2 linked regions of the Tamandua tetradactyla genome follow. Each later gene encodes a partner of the first gene's protein in a complex. Links are inferred from orthologs where the notes say so. Each region holds a gene or a part of one and is shown in the gene's direction. Other genes may lie near its edges. The genes, in order: IL22RA2 and IL22.

Region 1 (7,558 bases):
CCACTTTGTATTCCATTGTATGTCTACGCCACAGTTCACTCTTCTGTTCATCAGTCAATGTACGCTTAAGCCCCCTCTATCCATTGCAAATCATGACTATTGCCATTGTAAACACCAGTGTGCAAATGTCTATCTGTGTCCCTGCTTTCAGTTCTTCTAAGTATATATCTAATAATAAGGTTGCAAGATCATATAGTATTTTGGTTCGCTAAAGCAGCTGGAATGCAATATACCAGAAATGGATTGGCTTTTACAAGAGGAATTTATTAGATTACAAATTTACAGTTCCAAGGCCTTGAAAATGTCCAAATTAATGCATCAACAAGAAGATACCTTCACTCAAGAAAAGCCAATTGCATCCAGGTTCCTCTGTCACAGGAAAAAGCACATGGTGATGCCTGCTGGCCTTCTCTCCCAGATTCTGGTTTCAAATGGCTCTTTCAGCTCCTGTTTCCATTGGCTTTCTCTCTAAGTGTCTGTGGACCCTCATTTAGCATCCCCAGGCAGACTCTGGGTTTCATCTCTTAGCTTAGCATCTCCAAAAGTCTGTGTCTGGTTTCATTTCTCTGCTGTGTCCACTCTGAACTCTCTCTCTCTCTCTGTCTCTCTGTCTCTTTCTCTCTCTCTCTCTCTCCCTCTCCATGTGCTCTTTTCAGGACTCCAGCAAACTAATTAAGACACAGATTGAATGGTTGGGGTCACATCTCCATAGAAATAAACTAATCAAAGTTCCCACCTGCAATGGGTCTGCCCCACATGATTAGATTTTAAAAGCATGGCTCTTCTGGGGTACATGACTGTTTCAAAGCAGCACATATAGCACCCTATGTGTAAGTAGGACCTTTTTGATGATGCTATTTTTAGTAGAGGCATGGCCAATTGAACCAAGGTGGGCCTTAATCCAGATTACTAGAGGCTTTATAAAGAGAAAGCCAAGTGATAAGCCAAAGACTGGAACTCAGTGGAAACCCAGAAGAGAATGGAGAGGACATCATCATGTGATGGCTGGCAGAGATACAAGCCAAGGAATCTTGAGGATTGTGGCAAGCTAGCACTAAATGCTTCTGTCCCTGGGGGGAAGCCAGCCTTCTAGCCTCCAAAATCATGAGGCAATAAATTCCGATTGTTTAAGCCAACACTTTGCATGGTATTTGTCATAGCAGCTCTAGCAACCTTAGACAGTATGCAAAGGACTTAACTCAGGGCTCCACAATGATAGAGTAAACACTTAGATCATTATCAACCCCAAAATGGCATTCAAATGACCAGAGGAGTTTTATAAGGGTAGCAACTTGTAGGTAAAATGTTTAATCTTTTTTCTTTTGTTATGAAAAATGTCCAACATATACAAAAATAGAGAATATAGTGAACTGCCTATGAACCTAATTGCCCATTTTGACAATTATTAATTTGTGGCTATCAGTCCCTTCCCCAACCCCTTGGATTATCTGAAAGTAAATCCTGGCCATCATATCATTTCATCTGTAAATACATCAATATATATCTCTAAAAATAACTTCACAATGATTATAAAAATAACCACCACACCTGTATCAACCTAAGAATAACTAATAACAATTCCTTAATGAGATGAGTGGCTGGTCTGTGGGCAGCCTCAAGGAGAAAGGAAGACGCGAAGCAAGTCTGGCCAGGCAGGGGCTCCAGGAATTGTCTGGGCACCCTGGGGACCTCTCTGGCGCATCCAGCAGGCTCTCTCTATGGGGCTGGGCACAGAGAATGGTCTGAAGCGGGCATTTCGTGCTTGAAGTGAAGCATTGAATTTGAAAGCATAGGTTATCAGGGGAAGGCTCATTGAAAGGTTCCTAGATTGTAAGCTCTCACAGCAGGCACATATATAACTGGGTTGCATGAGTGGCGGGGGGCTCCATCAACTGTGATTTTCTTCTTTCCCAAACCAAAGGTCATTTCATTTGAGACAACTGTGTGACAAATTTTTCTGCTTCCCCACTGGTGGGAAATTCTAATTTAATTTCACCTTTCCGTCAACCTCGCAGCCTTGCAGGTGGCTTTGGCTTCCAGGTGATTTCACACAATGAGAGCCCACTGAATTGGGAAAGCACTGGTTTTGGTTTTGGAAATTTAACAGAGCAAAGAAGTTCACATCTTTGGGAGATGCTGCTCTCAGCATATTCTCTATTCCTTTCTCCTCTTATTTTCCCCTTATTTGTTCTTCAAAGTCAGGAACCCCTTTTGGAAACCCCAGCTTCATTCTCAGCTGCACTACCTATCAAACCTTGAATTAACATATTTTTCTTTTTGTTTAACTGGAATTTGTCACAATTTGTTCAATTGGAAACAAGAGCTAGTAACGTTGAAGATACTGAGCACCGCTAGTTCAAACCGAGTTATCCCCCATTTAAAAACCAAGGTTTACGCAAAATCTAGAGTCATCAGATAATGCCAACAAGTCAGAGACGGACGGTGATGAGAGATAGCAGACAAGGGGCAAATGAGGGACACAAGGCCTGTGTCTCATCCCTTCTTCAAAAGCATAGTTAGCTTACGAGACAGGGACCCTCCCCTGGAGGAGACAAGGTGTCTGGACTCTGAAGTCTGACTCAGCACAGACACACAGAAATCCCCGTGTCACCGTCACAAGCCCCTCCACGCTGCCTTGGCTTCAGAAAGCATGTGTCATATCGGTCCTTGAGTAACTGTGGAGTTTATCGTGTGGCAGTGGCCCTGGGTTCACCCTACCCTGGTCCCTAAGGAAATTCCCACTGGGCTCTGTTCCAAGACACCTTCATCAGGGGTGGGGCTCCCCAGGTGTCCCCAGCTGCACCCAAGGCTCACCGTGCCAGGCACACGACGGTCCAGAGCTGTTGTACACAGAGGCTGGGCATGGGGTGGCAAGGATTCCACACTCGAGAACAATGTCCCCTGTGCTCCTTTCTCACCCAGAATCTCCTCCCCAGCCCTCTCTGAGAACTCCATGTACCTCCCACCCAGCAGCTGGGCCCACCCCCACTTCAGCTCCCTCATTCCTTCCCTCCCTTCCCACAGCCCTGGGCCTCACCTATTCTTTTTTGGGGAGGGTCGGGGGGTGGTGGTGAGAAAAGTGGCTTTGCAAACAGGCTTCCAGAACATTTGGCCTCCCATTTAAGGAGGAGAGATTACCAGTAGCCAGGGCCCTGCCAGAGCTCTTTGTTTTCTGTTTTTCCCTTTAGAGGAGCTTAGGGAAGGCAGCGACTTCGTGTCTTGTTTTCTGCTGCATCCTGGGTGCTGAGAACACCTAGTTCATGCTAGGGCCGCAAATATGTGCTTAATGCTATTGAATGAATGAGTGAATGAATGAATGGGTACTGCTCAGAAACCATCACTACTCCTTACTAAAGGGGACATGGCACCAAAGACTCAAAGAGATACACAAAAGGAAAAAAAAGCCAGAATATATTTCCTCTTTTGACCTAAGCCTCTCTTTAAAAAAAAAAATCTTTGCAACTTTCTTGTGCTTTAATGTGTATTTTTAGTGCCTCTGAAAACATGCAGTAAAAAAAAATATCAGTAAGAAAAATGTTACAATGACTCATGGGCAAAGAACAGATGGCTTGGCTCAAACAGATTTCAGGGGCGATATGAACGAAGACCTAAGGTAGCAGCTCACAGCCTCGTCCTCCGTGTACCTTCTCATGGAGGGGGTCTTTTGGTTTGACAAACTCATAATCTTTGTCCAGATTGATGAGTCCTGGAGCCCAAGGATGGGGACGGAAAAGGGAGAGTCATCATTCATGAACGGGTCTCTGAGCAGGCAGGGTGGTGAGGATGGCAGGGGGGCTTTGGAAAGCTAGAGGGTGGCGGGAGGGAAGTGGGTCCCCCGAGGGGTCAGCCTGGACCTAAAGGAGGCAAAGACAGAAACAGAGCAGGGTCCGCCAGTCGCCTTGAGCCACTGCCGAGCACATCACTCAGAATCTTCCCAACAGCCACACCCTGCTTCCTGACAGATCCCCTCCGGGCCTCCTGAGCCTCTTCTCGCTCACCTGCGTGCCCCTTGCACAATTTCCTGCCCCGCCAGGTGTGCCAGGGCTCTACGTTGTACCTTCTCCCAGCTGACGAAGCGCCGGTCCCAGCCACCGCGCGCTGCCGTGTTGTAAAGGAGATGCACCGCACGGGGTTCTGAAATGACACTTTGGACTTTTTAACTCCCCTACACAAATAAAAGCATGCAATGTAGTTACACAAAGGAATTGTGGTTGCTTCAGGAACAATTGGCTTTGGTTAAACCCAGGGGGCCAGATATTGGCGTGGGAATCTTCCAGTTCCCCGTTCACCGTGAGCTGCCTCTCGCTGAAGGAGACATGGGGCACCCGCCACTCGCGCTCGGGACCATGGGGCCCCAACTCGGCTTTCTAGGCATCCTCATCCTCCTGGCCGGTGTGGGAGGTAAGTGTTTTCTTTCTTGTTAATTGCTCACAGCTTTGCCAGATGATCAAAGACCTGTTAGAAAGGGCACTGGCTCTTTTCTGGGCTTTATCAACATTTCAGCTTTCTTCTGTCACCAATGAAGGGAAAGACATAGGGTCAGTTACTCTGCAGCCAGATGAACTCCACATGTCCTTGAGACATATCTTCAAAGGAGCAAACACCCTAGAGGGTATAAGAAACGTGCAGCTGGACGAACGTGCACTGGCTTGCTCTCTCTGCCGAGAGTTTCCTTTGCCTTCTAGGGGCCAGGGAGCATAGATTCCTCAGCCAAACTGCCTGAAGTTGAATTTCTACTCTGCCTGGGGCAAGTTACATCCCCTTCTGTGTGCCTCAATTTCCTCACCTGCAGAACAGAGGCTGTTGGTGATTGTGAAGATCACGTGAATGTGGAGATGCCAGGCAGGTGGGGCAGTGGCTGGCAGAGAATGGGGACCCAGAAGAGCATGTGAGGATTTGCTGGGTCACACAGGGAATGCTTCGGGAGCTGGAGCATCTTATCACAATGCATCCCGGGGCCGGTCATGGTTTGCGGTGGGTCCCTGTCAGTGCAAGAGGCTCAGGTATTTCCTAAGAGCACACAGAGGCTAGTGACAGGTGCATAAGCACAAGCCAGGCCTCTGCCCTCCACCGGGTGAGGATTTGAGGAAACTGCACCTCTGCCCTTGATAATACCAACTCATTAGCAAACTTTGGCTGGGATTCAGATGCTACCAAAATGATCCTGGTTGTGCATTTTCATGGCCCTGTCACTTAGGTCAAGAGACAGGACATCTTTAAGCCTCAGCTTCCCCATCTGTAAAATGGAATAGTTAAATGCTCACTTTCTCTGAGAGTCATGAGAATTCAGTAAGATGTAAAGTTCCGAGCACAGCCTCTGATCTATAGGGCACACTCGATGAATGAGTGCCAGAGGGAAGAGGGGAGGCAGGGCGGCAAAGAGGACTTGCTCCGCCTCTCATTCTCTGCCTCCTCCCTCTGCTCCTCCTCTCTCCTGAAGCTTTGCTCTGGTTCTCTGGATAGGGAAGTGGCAGGCTCTGGAGTCAGACTGTCTGGGTGCAAAACTAGTTTCACTAAAGCCTTAGTTTTCTATTCTACGAGAGGGAGGCAGAAACAGCACATCCTCGTAGACCAGCTGGCAGGTGAGCTGCAGTAATGCAGGTAGAGTCCCCCCACCCCCATCCCCAGCATCTGGTGCCCAGTGGGTCATCCTTGGTGATGCTGGAATTGTTGTTACAATAATAAGAGAAGGAATCTATAGACATAGGAGGTAAAGTGCATTGAGCTTCTGTTTTAGTTTCCTTGGCTGCTCAAGCAAATACTATACAATGGGTTGGCTTAAACAATAGGAATTTAATGCTTCATGGTTTTGAGGTTAGGAAAAAAGTCCAAATCAAGGAATCACCAAGGTGATGCTTTCTCCTGGAGACTGTGGTGTCCTGGGGCTGGCTGCTGGTCCTTAGCTGGCACACAGCAGTGTCCCCTGTACTCTCCCTTCTCTTACATGTTCCGCTGATGTTCAGCTTCTGGCTGCTCCCTTGGCGGCTTTCTCTCTGTCTGTCCATCTGAATTTCACTCCACTTATAAAGGATGCCACAAATAGGGGTAAGACCCATCCTGATTGAAAAGGGACATCCTTAACGGAAGTGACCTCATCAAAAGGTCCTCCCTACAATGGGTTCACACACACCAGAATGAATTATGTATAAGAGCACGTCTGTCTGGGGTACACACAGCTCCAAACTACCACAGCATCTATCTTCAGGTTAGCAAACCAACTTGGAAATTTATGTCCTATACATGACTGATGAGGTAGTGATTCTGATGAGTAAAATCAACAGTGGCCCCAGATGCTTTCCAAGCACATGCTATCATTTGAGACACTCAAGGACTTATTGAAAATAAAAACAAACACCATTTGATTGGTAGAAATAAATACCTTGAGGAAACAGCCCCATTCACTACAAAATAACAGATCTTGAAATCTAGAACTGAGATCATTGGCTTAGAGTATCTGCCTGCATCTCAGTAAGGTGATATTCCAGCGAGACTTGAAGGAGGCGAGGAAACGAGCTGTGTAGAATCCCAGGGGAGAACATTCCAGAAAAAGAGAAGCACCAATGCAGAGCCCCTTGAGTGGGCTGGTCCCCAGCAGGTAGAGTGAGAGTAAGAAGGCTGAGGAGCTCAGGGAAATGGAGGTCAGGGAGAACGGAGGGTAGCCCCCTGATCCTCCTTCTGCCTAATCCCCTACTCCTCATCATAAACTTCAGACCCTAGAATACAACTTTGTCCAAGGGCTCTTGCTCCCAGGGAACTATATCAGGTGAAGTTGGGCTTCCTATGTCTCCTGTCTTGAGGAAGAAAGCACAGGCCACACCTGAGCTAAGTCACCCCATCCTCTAAGGACACCAGGCACTAGCATGGGTTCTTAGCTGGCCCAGTCCAGCTGAGCAGCTAGGAGCCAAAATCAATTCCAGGCACACTTTGCCTCACAGCAGTGGGGCCCTGGGTGGGCTGAGGAGCCTTGGCGTGTATGGCCTCTGGTCTCGGCCATCCCCTTCCATTACCATCCAGCAAGGGTCTAAGGGAATGGTTTTCTTTACTGATGCTTACTTCCTCTCTAGCTTGAGGAGTGTGATAGGTGAATATTGCCTTTAAAAAATCTAGGATGCAATTGTCCTGAAATGTTTGCGTCCATCAAAATCATGGCATTGAAGATTGAAGATGTTGACTTCTGGGCTCCAGCTCCACCCTCTGCACACAGCGGTGTAGAGAAAACACTTCAGGGAATCCCAAGGCAGGCATGACCTTGCTACTACTGGTAAAACAAGGCTGCCTCTATCAACGTCAAGGGTTTCTCCTTTTTCTCATCATTTTAGAGACCCAGCCAGCCCGTGAACCTCTGAGGCCCCAGAAGGTTCGATTTCAGTCCCGAAATTTTCGCAACGTTCTGCACTGGCAGCCTGGGAAGGCGCTGGTTGGGGCCACCACCCTCTACTTCGTGCAGTACAAAATGTGAGTAAATTGGACTTCACTGGGGTGACAGTGCTGGCTCCGGGACCTCATGTGGCCAGAAGGCAGTGGTGGGGAAGGATCCGTGCTGTTTTCAGTTTCAGAG
Region 2 (7,236 bases), on another chromosome or scaffold:
GAAATCAACCAGTGGAGCAAAATAAAGAGCTCAGAGATAGCCATCTATACATGGGAAATTCAGACATGATAAAGGAGTCACTGTTTGGTAGCTTGTGTTGGGAAAACTGCGTCATTATGTAAAGGAAATAAAACTTTTTCCCTACTTTCCACTACATTCAAAAACGCATTAAAGACCAATTGTGAAAGATAAAACCACAGAATAAATAAAACAAAAGGTATAGTCTAAAATAAAACATATTTAAATAAGTGCTAAATAAAATAAATAATGAATAAAATGTATCTTTGTGACTTAGGGGTGGAGAGAGACTTCTTAAACAAAACCTTGAAAAGTGTAAACCATATGATGAAAAAAAGACTTTGATTATATCCAAATTAGGTGTTCTGTTCAAGAAAGAACAAATAAACACAACTTGGGAGAAGAGTTTGTCATGCCTAAAATCTACAAGGGAAGGATATCTAAAATATATAGGGAACTCTTAAAAATTACAAGAAAAAGACTAAAAGCCCAACACAAAAATGGGCAAAAAATGCAAATGGCCAATTTACAAACATGAGAAACCCAATATGAAGAAAAATGCAAATTAAAACGAGAGGATATCACTTTAAACGGCCAAAACTGGCAAAAAAAAGTTGGCTAATTCTAAGTATGGCTAATACTAAATATTGTAAGGAAGCAGCAATCTTGATTCACAGATGTGAGAGAGATGAATGCTGCTTTTCCAGAGCACAATCTGGCAGTACCTAGTAAGAGTAAATAAACGTGTCCATGTGACCCAGTGAATAACCCCCTAGACAACTATTCTAAAGATATTTTTGCAAAAGACCATTAAAAGGGCTTGCCTGAGGTTGCTCAGTTTTAGGGTCAGTATGGTGTGTAAGTGGAAGCAGTAGCGGTGCCCATCAGAGGGGAGACAGGGCAGTACATGTGGTGGGTATACACCATGGAGTGTCATGCTGGAGGCATGAGCTACACACGGCAACATAGAGCTCAGAGTGCAAAAGTAAGAAAGAGAACCATTCCTATAATATGAAAACACCTACCCACACTAAACTGGACTTCAGGTGTTATAAGGGTACATACATATTCAGAACCACATTAAACATATTAGAGCAGTGGTTATGGCAGGGAAAGAGGTGGTCTTGGGCGTGGGAGGTGTTTGGTGGGGAGGGAAGGAGAATAATAAGGGTGGGCACACACACACACGTGCACGTGCAAATGTGCACACGAGGGACCATGTATGGAACAATGTGCTTTGAGCTGAGAAGTATGATGAGCTCAAAACTTTTCACCTGTGATATAAAAAAAGTCTTCCTTCTCCTAGGGAGTAGGGAAGTAATTTAATTCCTGCTGTCCGTGGGTCTTTGTTCGTCATCTTTGTGTGCTAGCACTCTAGGTGCTGGCGATGGGATGGCGAATGAAACAGAAGAAGCCTACCTTCTGCTTGGGGATTCTGGTTGGCTTTTTCTGACATATAGATTGTTGCTTATATCCAAAATAAACTATGGGTTTATCTTTGCAGGGGCCTAGTGTCATGGCCATGGGGAATCTTTGTATCTGGGGTGAAAGAAGTACCCAGGTTTTAAGGGAGTCTTGAAAAATGACAAGGAAACATCTGAAGAGAAGGCTCATTGTGATCTGAAATTATTCGGTACACATGTCTCCAGTTAATTTTTTTTTTTCAGGAGCAGTTTTATATGATATCCACAATCTCTTCTAATAGTTAATATTTTTGAAACGCCTAGTATGATTCGGGAATCTGCGTATAGCTGCAGAACAATTTTTCGCCTAATCAAGCTCACTAAAACCTAACATCTTGGGCTCACTGACAGCTTGAACCATCAGGGGCACACAATGAATAGTCGGCATATTGTTGCTATTAAAGATAACTTTGCAATTTTCTGGCATTTGTTTTCATTGCCCAATTATTTATTTCCTATTTAGAACAATAGTGAAGTTGGTAAATTGGCTTGAACCCCAATTTTAGAAGTACTGAGAAGGCAATTCAGAATTGCTTCCATGTATGTTCCCTAAGATATTTAGTAAATTGTTAAAATTCATGAACCTATTTATCTATTTATTCAATATGCTTTTACTTAGTCCTTCCTATCTGTGCAGAACTTGCTAATTGTGGGAGATAAAAAAATGAGAGAGACAGAGACCTTCCTCTTGAAAGCTTACAATTCGGTGAGGTCAAAACACATTTCTCCAGGGGAACAATAATATTTATACTTGTCGGGTTCTTAGGCAAACCAACAAAAGCCTATTTAATCCATAATATAGCTTAATTCTAGTGCTAATTCAATTATACAGAGTTCTGGGCAAAAATGGCCATATCTCATGAAATAGAGAACTGGATAAAGAAAAGCTTCCTCATCTCTCTGGGTTTATGAGCAGCCCCAGGAAAAAATTTGGAGCAGATCTAGTTTTCATTTGCTCTCTGTAACCTTTCCTTTGGCACCTTTCTGCTTTCCTATGAGGCATCCTTCCCAAAAGCTCACTGGCCTCCAGCTGCCCTAACCCTTCACCGTGGCACTGCACCTAGATCTGTGCTACCTCGCAAAATGCTCAAGATTCCATAATTATTCACTTCCCTCAGTTCTCCAACACTCCTGAGCTCAACTAGTTGAGAGGAGAAAAATCTGGTTAAACAAATTTGCACTAATTCACATTCCTTTTTCCAGCAACAGGTAGTTGTATTTTGAAAACTATTTGCTTGTTTACCGAAAAGTACCACTCTCTCCTGGAATGGATAGTTGTGGAAAGAAAACAAGTGAGTTTTCTAAGTGGGGAGGAGAGGACTGTGGGTAGAGGAACAACCACGTGGTCACGTCCACTCTGCCTGGACATCGGTGGTCAGGGTCAGCGCCATGAAAGCATTTTAACTTTCCCAACTTCTTTTTTGTCACTTTTGAACCCAGAGACTTACTTAAAACTTGCTTTCTGCCCCTACACCTCAGGATGGTTTCCAGTCTAGTTTTTAGGTGTCATTTAGAATTAAATTTAGTTTTAATAATTTAAAGTCAACTTGTATCCACTATATTGCCAGACCCTTTTCTTCAGAAATCCATTTATATCATATAAATAATGATGAGAGGTGTCTGGAAATATAAATTTGAAACTTAACTTGTGTCCAGGTAAAATATCAAGGTGAACTTATATCTGCTGTATCCCTTGTATTCTTTGATTAAAAAAATACTTGCATCTTAAGAAAATGATGATCAGATTGTGTAGCATTATTATGTCCAAATTTAACTATGAATTGATTATAATTCAGTGAATAAAATGTAAGATTAATTTGTACCTGCCATAATTTTATGATTGCTTTTTCAATAAAAAATAAAAAATCAATCAAAAAAGATTCCTTTTTTAAAAGCTCCAGAATGGGAAGAAAACAGCACTTAGATTAGCTAACCTTACTATTTTTAAAATACATGTCTTGTTCAGGTTTCTACATGTTTAAAAAATTGAGATTAAATTATTTTTTTAAAATGGAATTCCTACAAGCCACTATGACCATTACCTTTAAAGCAGAGCATCTCGGACATGTGTCCTTTATTTCTAAACATGTCTAATGAGATAAAAATCTATGAAGCTGGTAGAAAAATGAGTCCGTGACCAAAATGCTTACTAAGTTACTATAGGAGATCAAAGAATAGCATACTGAATCTGGAATCTACTAAGACAAAGCAATTGTTTTCTCTGAAAATATGTAGGGTTAAGAGAATTTCTAGGATGCAGTCTGTGAAAGCCCCTCTGGGCCTTAATAGTGACGTATTAGGGAAACACTTGCATCTCAAGGTGGGAAGGATGGAAGGTGGCGTCTTGTGGCTCCTACGGTGGTTAGGTAGTTCTCAGAAGACTGAACTGGAAATTAGATAATTGCTGATGTCATATTTTTCATGATTAAAAAAAAAAGGCATCCTGGGGGATATAAAAGCAGCAGCCTCTACTCCTCACAACACAAGAAGTATCATTGAAACGGGTAAGTGTTTCAGCAAACTTGGTAAATTGATTTGTTTGGTGTGGATAATTTTTTTCCCTCATGTCATGTCTGTCTCGTGTTCTCCTGATACCAGGCTTTCCTTCCCATTTGCCGGTTGCTCAAGTTAGAGTTGTCTACAATGACCACCCAGAAATCTGTGTACCTTTCCCTGATGGGCATTCTGGCCACCAGTTGTCTGCTTCTTGCCCTGTTGGCCCAGGGTGGAGCTGCTGCACCCATCAGTTCCCACTGCAGGCTTGACAAGTCCAACTTTCAGCAGCCCTATATCGCCAACCGTACCTTCATGCTGGCTAAAGAGGTAATCATCTCACTTTCTCTCTTTTTCTCAGCTTATCTACTTGGCACCTAAATAAGGCTTAAATTTTACTTTACAGCACTTTAAGATCTTTAAGAACCCAAAATTATTCCCTACTGGCAACTCAGAGATAATTTCCCATGCCCCTTCATAGACTATTTAGAGACCTGGTTTTGCCAGAGGACCTTCCATTTTGGCCTTTAGGATAGATAACATTGAGTTTTACCCAAAGAGGAGCCAAGCAGCCCATCTAACTATTCATTACCCCCTTTACTCTTCAGTGCATTATTTTAAACTCATGCATATATCTCAATTCTTTCTCTAGTCTTTAAGGGGGTTGCTTTGGGGAAAGGAGCTGGAGAGTGGAATACCTCTCTACTTACAGACTTTTCTTCTATGTCTTCAATGTCCAGGCACTTAGATTCTTTTTCTCTTCCAGGCCAGTTTGGCAGATAACAACACTGATGTCCGTCTCATTGGGGAGAAACTTTTCCGTGGTATCAATGTAAGCCATACTCGTGATGGGCAGGGTAGTGTGCCATCCATGGTTATTTGGGGTGGTGGTGATGATGGTTTGCATCTTCTGCATGTCCTCCTATTGTGACCACTGCTGTTTGACCTTGGCCTTGCAGATGAGGGAGCGCTGCTATTTGATGAAGCAGGTGCTGAACTTCACCCTGGAAGATGTGCTGCTACCCCAGTCTGATAAATTCCAGCCCTATATGCAGGAAGTGGTGCCTTTCTTGGCCAGGCTCAACAACAAGCTAAGCCAATGTGTAAGTTCTTCTCCCAACTGAAATTCACCCACTTCTACCTACCTTCTTCCATTTAGGGTCCCCCATTCCACCATCAGCTGCTGATGGGTGCAGCAGCTCCGCCCTGGGCCAACAGGGCAATAGTATTATTCCAGCAATAATACTGTTGCTGACATACCTCAGCAATAGTATTACCAGGAGAGTTTCTTTTGCTTTAATAGAGTTAATGATGGTGAATGGGGGTCTGCAAAATGACTGCACGGAAGCCTTATTTGTTGGCCCTGGATAAAAGCAATTTGGGTCATATGTGATGAGAAGGTATTGGGAGATGTAAAGAAAAAAAACCTAGATGTGGAAATGGGTCACTGATTAAAATGTGTCAGCGGGTGGGGATGGGAGGAAAGAGAAAGTGAAAGCCAAAAAGAGGGAAACAGGAAGGTATAATGCTCAGGGTTGCTATGCAGACTGCTGCCTTTTGATGTCAGGGGAAGTGACAAAATCAGAGGAGTGTGAACATGATGCCTCTGAACATTTAAAACTATGAAAAAAGGTTAGAGTAGGGTAGGCAGAGGGAAGGGGACCTAGCATTTATCCAGGAGGGTCTACTCTTCAGGCGAGAAGTGTTATGCACTTTTCTTGTTCTGAGTACATGTTTTTAATGAGGTGCATTTTGGGTTTTATTCTGGTGAGAATCTGCATAAACCACTCCACTGTTTCCACCAGCTTAACCCTCAGTAGAATTGCACAAAGGTGAAGAGAGGTCCCATGTAAGGGAAGTGAATGGATGTTGGTGTCCAGAGGAATTCAAAAGCTCAGAAAATGTAGGCCACTGGTGAAATCTAGGTCACTGTGGGCAAAAATTAGTAAGCTCTTCAATTCCAGGTGAATTGTAGTGTACCTCAGACAGAGAGGCTGAGGTTCATTAAACTTCAGTGCTACAGTGTTAAAATAGTGATTCTTGCTTTTATTTTGTAGCATATTCAGGGCGATGACCAACATATCCAGAAAAATGTGCAAAAGCTGAAGGAAACGGTGAAAAAGGTATGATCACTATTAATGCCAAATCTTTGAATAGGACAGATATATGCCATCCTTTCCTTTTTCTACTTAGTGATTTCTACTTGATTCTCTTACTATCAAGCTGATAATTTAGGTACCTGCACACATAGATGTGTATATGTATTTATTAACCAATTTCCAAATTTTGCACATCATAGAAATCTAGAGCTGGCTAGGAGCTTGGGTTATCTATTCTCATTAACCCATAACCGTGAGATGGCAAGTGGCCAGCAAGACAAGGCTAGCACGGAAGTCTTCTGAATTCTAGACAAAAAAAGCAATAATAGACCCTCAGTTTTAGTATTATTAATTCTTAGGGAAAGTTCAGATTTCTGTTGATTCATATATTCTGAAGAAACACTTGTTCAAAAACAGAGAAGTACCTTGAGTGCATTTATGGAAATGAGTTGAAGCCATTTCTTTGATGATTTTAAACTTGAAGAAATAGACTTAAAACAATAACAAAAGAGGTGGACTTACCATAGGGTAAATTTCTGGAGTGACTGATACTTAGATTTAATTATCCTAACATAATACCCAGCAGCTATGGTTTCAGTTTAGAAGCAGGAGCAAACAATCTTTACATTTTTATCCAGATTCAAATAGAGTGAAAATCATTAGTAGTGGATTTATTATGGTGAAATGGAAGTCCGAATTGGATATTGTATTTTCTTCCTCTCTCTTTCTAGTTTCCTTTCTGCTTCCCTCAATAAATCCCTACTGAGAATTTATCTACCTTGTACCAGCATTCATTTCTGCAATGACTGATACTCTCCGGTGGCTATCTGGGGAAAGAACAATAGTAGATGACTTAGACTGTCAGTTGTGATTCACCCCAATACCAGAGGAATCATTAGTAGTCTGAGGAAGAGATGCTTTTCCAAGCAGATGCGATTAAACACTTAGAAATAGGAAGGCTCTAACTGATGGAATTTTCTCTAACAAGCCTAACCTCAATTTCCCCTCTATTTCAATCTTAATTTTTTTAAAAAAGTATTTCTTTCTGAGTGTATTTTAGTGAACATGAGCATTTCTTCCTTTGATAATCGAAAGCTCTGTAGTTTTTCATCAGAAAGATCAATTCTCTTGTTAGAGAATTATTAGATTTGAAGGGATAAATA

What was found.
Region 2: the proteins of IL22RA2 (region 1) and IL22 are in contact, whole or in part, in a crystal structure (PDB 3G9V), measured with the Homo sapiens proteins. The link is inferred for Tamandua tetradactyla from reciprocal best matches to the Homo sapiens genes IL22RA2 and IL22. Residues at the interface, in NP_443194.1 of Homo sapiens: Lys65, Ile66, Tyr99, Gly100, Gln101, Arg102, Trp104, Gln128, Glu129, Pro130, Tyr132, Met148, Pro150, Arg151, Thr153, Trp155, Trp156, Glu157, Glu200, Pro246, Met247, Leu248, Asp249, Arg250; in NP_065386.1 of Homo sapiens: Phe47, Gln48, Pro50, Thr53, Asn54, Phe57, Met58, Lys61, Ser64, Leu65, Asp67, Asn69, Thr70, Asp71, Val72, Arg73, Leu74, Lys162, Gly165, Glu166, Asp168, Leu169, Met172, Arg175, Asn176.

Annotation. Positions count from the first base shown.
Region 1 is NC_135351.1:37,377,653-37,385,210, reverse strand, and holds the start of IL22RA2 (interleukin-22 receptor subunit alpha-2), read left to right. Parts: upstream 1-4,288; 5' UTR 4,289-4,316; coding exon 4,317-4,401; intron 4,402-7,319; coding exon 7,320-7,455; intron 7,456-7,558. UniProt on the Homo sapiens protein: Isoform 2 is a receptor for IL22. Binds to IL22, prevents interaction with the functional IL-22R complex and blocks the activity of IL22 (in vitro). May play an important role as an IL22 antagonist in the regulation of inflammatory responses.
Region 2 is NC_135333.1:136,421,190-136,428,425, reverse strand, and holds the start of IL22 (interleukin-22), read left to right. Parts: upstream 1-4,124; coding exon 4,125-4,304; intron 4,305-4,740; coding exon 4,741-4,806; intron 4,807-4,933; coding exon 4,934-5,077; intron 5,078-6,031; coding exon 6,032-6,097; intron 6,098-7,236. UniProt on the Homo sapiens protein: Cytokine that plays a critical role in modulating tissue responses during inflammation. Plays an essential role in the regeneration of epithelial cells to maintain barrier function after injury and for the prevention of further tissue damage.